Caenorhabditis elegans: one gene and its partner. The protein of the gene in region 2 interacts with the protein of the main gene of each other region in a biochemical or structural test. Each region holds a gene or a part of one and is shown on either strand. Other genes may lie near its edges.

The links.
Region 1: the proteins of unc-34 (region 2) and mig-10 interact in far-western blotting, tested with the Caenorhabditis elegans proteins (one study listed by BioGRID).

Annotation. Positions count from the first base shown.
Region 1 is NC_003281.10:8,277,534-8,282,109, reverse strand, and holds the start of mig-10 (Abnormal cell migration protein 10), read right to left. Parts: upstream 3,003-4,576; coding exon 2,929-3,002; intron 2,466-2,928; exon of another isoform or gene 2,374-2,465; intron 1,672-2,373; exon of another isoform or gene 1,535-1,671; intron 2-1,534; coding exon 1-1. UniProt on the Caenorhabditis elegans protein: Required cell non-autonomously for proper development of the excretory canals and for the long-range anterior-posterior migrations of embryonic neurons CAN, ALM and HSN.
Region 2 is NC_003283.11:981,133-985,716, reverse strand, and holds the start of unc-34 (WH1 domain-containing protein), read right to left. Parts: upstream 3,012-4,584; coding exon 3,007-3,011; intron 2,907-3,006; exon of another isoform or gene 2,811-2,906; intron 622-2,810; coding exon 242-621; intron 1-241.

The sequences.
Region 1 (4,576 bases), on a different chromosome or scaffold from region 2:
GCTGTAAAATGAATGGAATTTATTGGGAATGCTTTCATGTTTACATAAACGAGAATGCATTCTTTAAGTGGATCAATTTGAAAAATGGAACACATCAATGGAATTTAGAAATTTGTTGTGTTTCTCTTAGAAAGTAATTTTGTTAGAAACCTCTCCAAATGGGAAAAACTCAAATATCATAGTAAATCTTTTCAAAAAACTTGTCTGAATTTTTAATTCAAATTGTGTTGTGAAAACTTAGTTTGCACCTATCATAATTTCAAGTGTGGCAGATTTTTGTTTCTATGAGTTTTTATACTTTAATTGCCTTTTTTTTTATTTGCATATATTGCTCTATTTCAACATTCTGAGGACGAACCAATGCTCGAAATTACTTAGAATGCCCATATTTTTGGAACATTTCGTAAATTACCAAAACATTGAATGTAAGTTTTTTAAAAATTGAAAAAAGGGCTTTTCTGAATCAACTTCTCTATTTTGAATTCACATTTAAAATTGAAAGAATATTTCAAGTTTCTAGAATTGAAAAGTAGATGGCACTTCATAAGAAAAGAAAGAGGAACAGGGAACAATCTGCCAACATTTTTGATGAATTGCTCCCAAACAAAGAGTGAACGACAGCATTTTGATGGACAAAGAGAGAGTCAAAGGGGTCAAGAAAGTGAACATACTCTACCATGACAAGGCTGTTCTCTTCTGGTGATTCAAAACTGAAAGGTTTGAAGCAATTCGAAACTGACGGAAAGGACACGCTCCGGTAAAAACGATGAATGAACATCAGAAATGGAACACACATGGCAACAACACGGACCGATGAACACCTGGCTAGCCACGAGGATTTGCCGGATTTTCGAGGATTTTAGTTAGTTCATAAACAAATTGGGGTTTGGATGGTGTTAATTAGAAATTTTTTGATAGTTTTTTGTAGAGAGGGCTTGAAAACGTTATTGAAAATCCATGTGAGCTATATAAAGTTTTTTCAACTTTTTGATAGATGATTTTCTGGTTAATGTTTAATCTATGACTTGTATATTTTTGTTGTTTTTTCTATTTTTTCTATTTTTCACAGTACAAAATTATTTTTAAAAAATCTATTTAGAGATTCAGGAGAAATGATATCAATTTTGGCAAACTTTCATAACTTTTAGACGCCATTGCGAAATTTTACTAATGGTTATTGAAAAATAATCGTTTCGCGGACTTGAAGTTATGTAGCTCTTTCTTTCTTGTCATTCTTGAAAAAAATTCACCAATTTTCTCCGTTTTTCTTCCAACTTACTTAGTATCTTGGTTACCTTTTCCTAGACCTCCCCGACTTTCAAACTTAATTAGACCACACTTGCAACTATCTTTAAAAATTCAGAGAATTTCACTTTCATGGCCAAGAGCAGCAATAAAAGTCAGAAAAGTGAAAGAAAAGAGAAATAGAGTGCAACACAGAAACAAGAATGGACAAGAGAACGGACAACCCATTGTTTCAGAATGTCGTTCCTTTTCTCTGTGTCTCTTTTGAATTCATACACATGTTCCATGAAACATGCTCGCGCACAGATTGAAATGAACAGAAAGAGACGAGGAAGAGTGCGAATGATTTATTCATCAATGCTCTGGTATGTTCAGAGCTTTGCAACAAATGAAAAAGAGCACAAATGGAACATTTCTGAATAATATTGATTCGTAACTTAACTTTGCTTCATAACTTTAGAACATCTTGAAAAAATTGCACAAAAAAGAGTTTTGTCTGTCGTTTGGGAAGTAGAGTTGCGTTGTGGAGACATTATTTTTCCTAGGGCTGAGTAAGGCTGAGTAATCTAGTATCCTACCAAATAATTTAGATAATTTTTTAAAAAGGCTGCGGTTTCTTTGGAGAAATTACATGAAATAAAAAGTTCTGAACACTTCAACACACATTCAAAAGTTTTGTTACATTCCGATCTAAGCTATAAGTCATATTTTTGGAAAACCAACAAAAAATTCTGAACGAAAATCCAGTAGGTTTCAAGGAAAACCGTACAGCCAACAAGAAAAGATCATAGAAAATCACATCTGGATGGCCTTCCGTTCTATTTCTTTTGCCGGATTGTCACTAAATCATCTGCGAATGATAAATGACCGTAACCAAAGAAAACTAATCAAGTGTATAGAATACGGGAAATGAGGTCATTGGAAAAAAGGCCTAACTGGAAATTAGGCTGAAGCTACTGCTAATACTAGTGTTACGAAACACGACAAGAAAAAGTAATCAATTCAGAAGCATCGCCAATAAACCAACAAATAGAACATATAATCAAGTTATCTGAATGCACGAGATAGGCGTAAAGGACGTACGAACATGCCAGCTTAGAGATTATAGGAAATTGTGAGTCACAGACAAAAACGCAAGTTGAGATAGCAATCTTTTGCTCGATGAGGGTGAAGGTCCGGTCAACTGATGACCACTAAAGATAGACACAACATACTACCAAAGCTTTATAAAAACGAATAATTGGAAAAATAGGAAAATTTGTTAGCGATAAGAAAAATTTGAATTATCCAAATGTGAATGTAAAGATAGCCTGCCAAATTTGAAAAAAAAACGCATCTTTGTGAACATTTTACAAAACTACAATAAAGATGGTTTAGCTTTTGTCAAAACATACCAACAAAAAAAACACTATAATTTTCGAAACACTAAATGTTTTATGATTTTTGGAAAGTTTTATTTTTCCGTTCTTCAAACTATTCAGTGACTCGATTTTTTTCCAAACCTTTTTTCTATAAAATAAAAAACTTTACCCATTTTCCATTTAACATCTAAACGTTTCAAATTGGCTAAGATCAAACGGCAAACACTTGAAAAGTGTGCATAAGGTAATTACGAGAAACCATTTGGGAGTCAAGTGTTTACGGACCACTGACATTTCTTTGGTTACCACAATAAGAACTCACCACTTTTCACCAAAAAGTTGATCTTCTTCGTCACTGTCAACTTCCAGATCGCATTCCTCTTCGCAACTGTCCATATTGGCTGAAATTTTGGAATTCAATCTTGAATAAATGTAACAAAAAGAAAATGGATCTTCTGAGACACAAAGTTTACCGGAAATGTACATGTAGCTTTGTTTTAGAGTTGAAACTTGAGAAGTCGTATAAGAAAGAAGGAAAAAATTGGAAGGGAAAGGAAAACTTTAAGGGGTCAAAAACCTTTTTTAAAGAAAAAAAACTGAAAAAATTCGTCAAATCAAAAAATCTAGCATCAAAAATTGCTCGTTTTTCGACTTTTAGAAATATCCAAAGTATTTGCCCAAACTTGCGCAAATAATATTTGTATACTAAATTCTGAATATCTAGTTTTCAATCAGCAGGAAACAGACTTTTATTGAATTTTTTTCATAGATTTCTCTAGTTTATTGTCACAATAAATCCACTTTTTCTAGTCTTAAAAATATGTATTGTATGTAGAACAATCTTTTTATTCTCAAGTTAAAAAATTATGAACCCTTGCAATCTAGAAAAAATTCAAAACACGACTTGTCAAGCTAATCCAAATAAAACAATAACAAAAACAAAATTGAGATTTCCGCTCTCTAAATACCGTATTTTCCTATGTTTGAACCACACTACTCTACATTGACGGCTTATATTTCAGTGGTTTAAGCTCAACGAAAAACTGTTCAACTATACAAATATAGCAAATTATTTGACACCTACTTTTACAGTTTAAAATGTCTCAATAAAATATAAGAAGACCGAGATATTTATGAGTTGTTAAAGTAGAGCAAAGTGATGCAAGGCCAAATTTGAGTGTGTGGTCTAAAGTTTTTAAGACAGAAGGAAAACCCAATTGACCACTAAATAATCTACACCAAATTTTCTTCCGTCTCCTCGAAAAAACAACAACATCTGCATAAAAAAGTGATTGACCTTCCCTCTGTCGGGATCGTTGCTAACAAAGTGCAAAAGCGATGATACAAGTCAAGGGATACCCCCCTCCCCCGCACAACAACAAGAAAGAATAAAAAAGAAGGCGGGGACAGCAAAGAGGGACACATATATCTCTTCCGCGCGGAAAGAAAGCGGCAAAAACGTACTAATGCGCGAGAAAAGAAGCAGAAGAAGCATATAATGACCTTTTTATGATAAAGTCTCGTGGGACAACCGGACCATCAATATGGTATTGAGTATAGAATATGCAAATTTTGGTTGAATAGAAAAACGAAGAGAAAATGGAACAGAAGGAGAGTTCAGAGTGCGCAAATAATGGAAGGAACGCGCGTAATCTGGAAGAGTTGACATAAAAAATAAGAGGATTATTCATAATTGAGTCGCTCGGCACGATACGGTAAGGAAACTATAATGAAGAAGATTACAAGACAATCAAAACTAGAACTTTTAAAAAAGTTTTCAGAAAAACTTGGTAGCAGTAAGGTAGTTATAGGTAAGTAAGGTATAGAGCACATTCTGAAGTTGGAAATTTCAAGTTTTTTTTTTTTTGAAAAAAAAGTGAAGTTTCTGCTGAAACCATAGAAAACTATAGTTCAAATTTCCCGAAAATAATTACAGTTAGCGTCGCCAAGTTTAGCCAAGATAAATGAGT
Region 2 (4,584 bases):
TGATAATTTATGGGGTTATTCAAGTAGTGTCGGAAAATTAAAAATTGTAGAAAAATGAGCAAAAAAATTATACGTTTTCTGATGTGTTTCTGATGAAAACTAAACATAAATTTTATACAATGTTATGATGCTTCGTTTTTCCGGAAAATCGATAATTTTTTATTTTCGATTTTTATCTCTGGTTAGGTTTTTTTATATCTTGGGATTTTTGTCGTGTGAAAGCTATATTTGAAAAACGCACGATGCATCTGTTGATAATCACTAATTCCATTCATATCATGAACTTTCAACGTCTCAATCGCCTGTAACACAATGCTTAAAAACATTGTCGCATCCTGTTCATTCTCGAAATTCAGCCCATACACCCGCCGCTGTTCGGTACGCCATTGATGAAACATTGGTGTGGCCTTGTGATATTTGATTCCTCGATAAATATTACAATTCAAGATATTCGTGCTGTCAGCGCGGTTGGATACAATCCGAAACTCGGGTCGCCGAATGTCTTGGATTAGGCGAACATTTGTCATTGAATCATCATTTCCGCCGAGTAGTACCCATCCTTTTGTCGATTCGTTGTAGGTCATCACTCGGGCCATTGCCGTCGCGATACATGCTTCGCTACTGGAAAATTTGAATTTTTTGGTGGGAAAAAATGAAACTAAGTTCTGAGAATGCGTATTACACAACATATTTGACGCGCAAAAAATCTCGTACCGAAAACCACAGTAATTTTTTTAATTACTACTGTAGCGCTTGTGTCGATTTACGGGCTCGAAACTAATTGATTTATCGAACCGAGCTCGTATATCGACACAAAAACTACGCATTCTCCGAATTTCGTGCACATGTAATATGATTGCACTAAAAATCATTTTTTCAAAATATACTTGTTTCAAAAATGACAAGAAAAAGTTGGTTTTTTTTCGGTGGCCGGAAATCGAAAATGTTTGGCAATTCGACTAATATCGAGGTAAAAAGTGTGAAAAAGTAATTTCTATCATCATAGTAAATGCGGTTTTTGTGGAATTGTAACTTTTTTCACTCGCAATTTAATAATATGACATTCTCAGGGAATTTGAGAATATTTTCGATAATTCGAAAGTTGGCGAAATTGAAGAAGGTAAAAAATGAGATTTTTGTCATCTTTTAAAAAAGGTTCGGATCAACTTTTTGCACAAGTTGCGAATTTTGAGCTCTTTCAGATGTAATAGAACCGACCACTTATATATGCGAACCTACTAGATTTTCGAAACTTTAAATAATGGTATCTGATTAAAGGTGGTGTTGCAGACGAAATTTGTTATTGCTTTATTAGACTCAAAATTGTTTGAAAACACCGAATTTTATAATGAAACTTCTCAAAAAAAAGTTATGGCGGCTTGAAAAGTGACCTAAAATTAGTTGAAATTCGAAATTTGACTTGTCACAGCGACTGGAAACTAACTTTTTCGAAATCACCTTCAAATTTTGAGTATGCAATTCAATTATCTTGCATTTTCAACTTCATTTAGGTATAATAAAGTCGGGAGTTTTCCAAAATATTGTTTCCAGCCGCTGCGGCATTTTTCAAATTTCAAATTTCAACTAATTTTAGGTCATTTTTCGAGCGGTCATAACTTTTTTTTTGGAGAAGTTTTCAAGAAGTTTCATTTAAAAAATCGGTGTTTTCAAACAAACATTTGAGTCTAATAAAGCAATAAAAAAAAATCGACTACACCACTTTACAAAAAAAATCCAATCACTCTCTAAATTTCCACTCAATTTTTATTGTTTCTCATTTCATTTAATTTTAGTCTCGTCCCTCTCTCGGAGGTCGAGCCGGACATGATAAGTGGCAGCAATTGGCACGGGCTCTTTTCACTGCTCATCCAGTTCTCTTCCTTCTGCTGGACACTAGGTATTTGTGCAAATAGGAACACACAGCATCACCTCACACACACACAAAAAAAACATTAGAGAGCTTCAGTGTCAACATTACAGTCAGACGCTGTGAATCAGTCAAAAAATGGATTTTTGCTGGGTGGTAGATCGCGGAGACACGGGGGTTCTGGCCTTGCTCATTGAATTTTTCGCGCTACATTGACAATCGTCCGCCGGACAACGCGTGGAAAAGTGTCGTGTACTCCACACGGACAAATACATTTAGCTTTACAACTAAAATCGAGCCGCAACGAGACACGCAACGCGCCGTAAATCTACCCCAGATATGGCCGAGCCAAAATGGCCTAGTTCGGAAAACTCTTCCATTTCAATTTATGAGGGAAGCCAGAAATCCGTGCGGAGAGTAGCGTGAATGAAAATTTCGCTTCAAAAAACCCCAAAATAGTCTCAAACTGAATTCCCTTCAAAATGAGAACAGCGACCAATCAGCGAACCGCTCCGCCCACTTTTGAACCAATCAGAATGCTTGTAGCTACTGATTGGTTAGAAAGTGGGCGGTGCGAATCGCTGATTGGTCGTTGGTTTCATTTTGAAGGGAATTCTGCTAAAAACAGTTTTTTTTCAATTGTCTGCATTCAAAGGAGCATTCCTATTAGGTCCCAGCACGAAAAAATTGGCAAATAAATTTTATAACTCGTGTACTCCCCGAGGAGCATGCAAATTTTTTTCTGAAAAAAAATGCTCCTCTGTGTCGATTTACGGAGCTCGTGTACTCCACGAGGAGAATATCGATTTTTGAAAATTTTTTTTACACTCAATTCGCGATTTTATCAATAACTCATAGTATTTTGTTCAAAATTTTTATAATTTTATGCTGAAAACAACGAAAATACGTGAAAACGATCAAAATTTAGCGAAAATGGTCAAAAATCAAGTATTTTAGCGCCAAAAACTGGCCTAAAACATAAAATTCACACTTTTCCTCGGGAAGTACACGAGCTGCGTAAATCGACACAAGCTCGTGGCCGAACTTTTGCAATTTTTAGGCCAATTTTTTGGTTTTTTTTTTCAATTTTTTTTCAAATTTTCCCATAAAAAGTTCCCCATCTCCATAGTCATTATTACCTCATTCTGGCTCAAAAAAGTGCAATCTAATCTCCTTTTGCTCTTTTTGCTCAAAAAAGTGCACTTTTACGGCAGATTTTGTGTCTTGTCAACAGCAGCAGCAACAGCAATCGGTCAGTGTTTCACGCATTCGAAATGCAACGGCAAAAATTTTGAAGTTTTTTGGTGGAGGTTTGGCTGAAAAATGAGAATGTGAGAAGGGAAAAAACAGAAAAATATGCATTTTTTATGACGAAAAAAAGAACGAGATTTATAGGGAAAAATGTTCGGGGAGGGGAAAAAATCGATTTTTCAGAAAATTGAATTTTCGATTTTCTGGAAAACCTTGGAAAAATCGTTTAAACTTTTTATTAAATTTTGTTCATTTTGATCTCTAAAAAGAGGAAAAAAGAGGAAAATGGACAAATTTGAAGCTATTTTTCGAGAAATCTAGTTTTTTTTTCAAAATTTCAGAAAATCGGAGAAAACATTTGTTAAAGAATTTTTGAATTTTTTTCAAAAAGCGGGAAATTTTTTTTTAGAAAATTTTTAAAAAAATCAATTTAAAAAAAATCGATTTTTAAGATTTTTAGGATAATCGAGAAATTTTTTTTGGAATTATTTGAAAAAAAATCGAAAAATTATCGATTTTTCGTTGGTCGGAATTAATGATTTTTTTCTAGAATTGGGAAAAATTTTGTTTTAAAAAAGTTTTTTTGTATTTTTTTTTTACAGATTTTGCAAATATTTTTTCAGCAAAGTGTGATATCGATTTTTTTAAAAAGAAATTTCTGAAAATCGAAAAAATATATTTTTTGAACAATTTTTTTTCAAAAATTGAGAAATTTTGGTTTTTTCAAACACTTTTTGACACCTAAAAATCCGTAAAAAATTATTTTCAAAATTTGGTAAAATTTTTGAAAAAAAAAGTGCTGTTTTTGCTTTGAGCTCAAAAGTGTGCAATGAATCAAAAATTACTTTTTTGATTCAAATTTTTGGTATTTTTGTAGGTTTTTTTCATTAAAAAAATATTGCCCATCAATGGAAAACATTGTAAAAATTTGCCAAATTCGTTTATAATTGAAAAACTAAATAATTATTTTTGATTGAACTCATGATTTTTGTTTTAATTTTCAAACAAAAAAAACTGTGAAAACCCCGCGAAAAAAATGGAAAATGCTCTAATAACTGTGCAAACAGAAAACACAAAAATATCAAAATTCATTGTCTGTTGTGCCGGCCATCGTTACAGTGAGAAACCCGAGAGAGAGAAAGAGTTTCCGAGTGGGAACAAAAAATGGGGAAGGGGTGAGAGTGACGAAACACAGGCTGATGGAGACCGTTTCCGGAAACGAGTTGCACGGGGGGGGGATCATGGTTTTTTAAACAACAATAAAAGGTAGTTTCTTAAATTAAAACTTCTAAGGAAATCGCTTCGAGACACAAGAGATTAGATTTCGAATTGTCATAAAAAAGTGAATGACTCATTGTCGTCGTCGTCTCACTTTCTGTATGACGAACAAAGTGCAAACATGCAGTGTGTTCAATATACATTTGCGTGGGCAATATATTTATTCAAATTTTTAAGTTTGAAAAAAA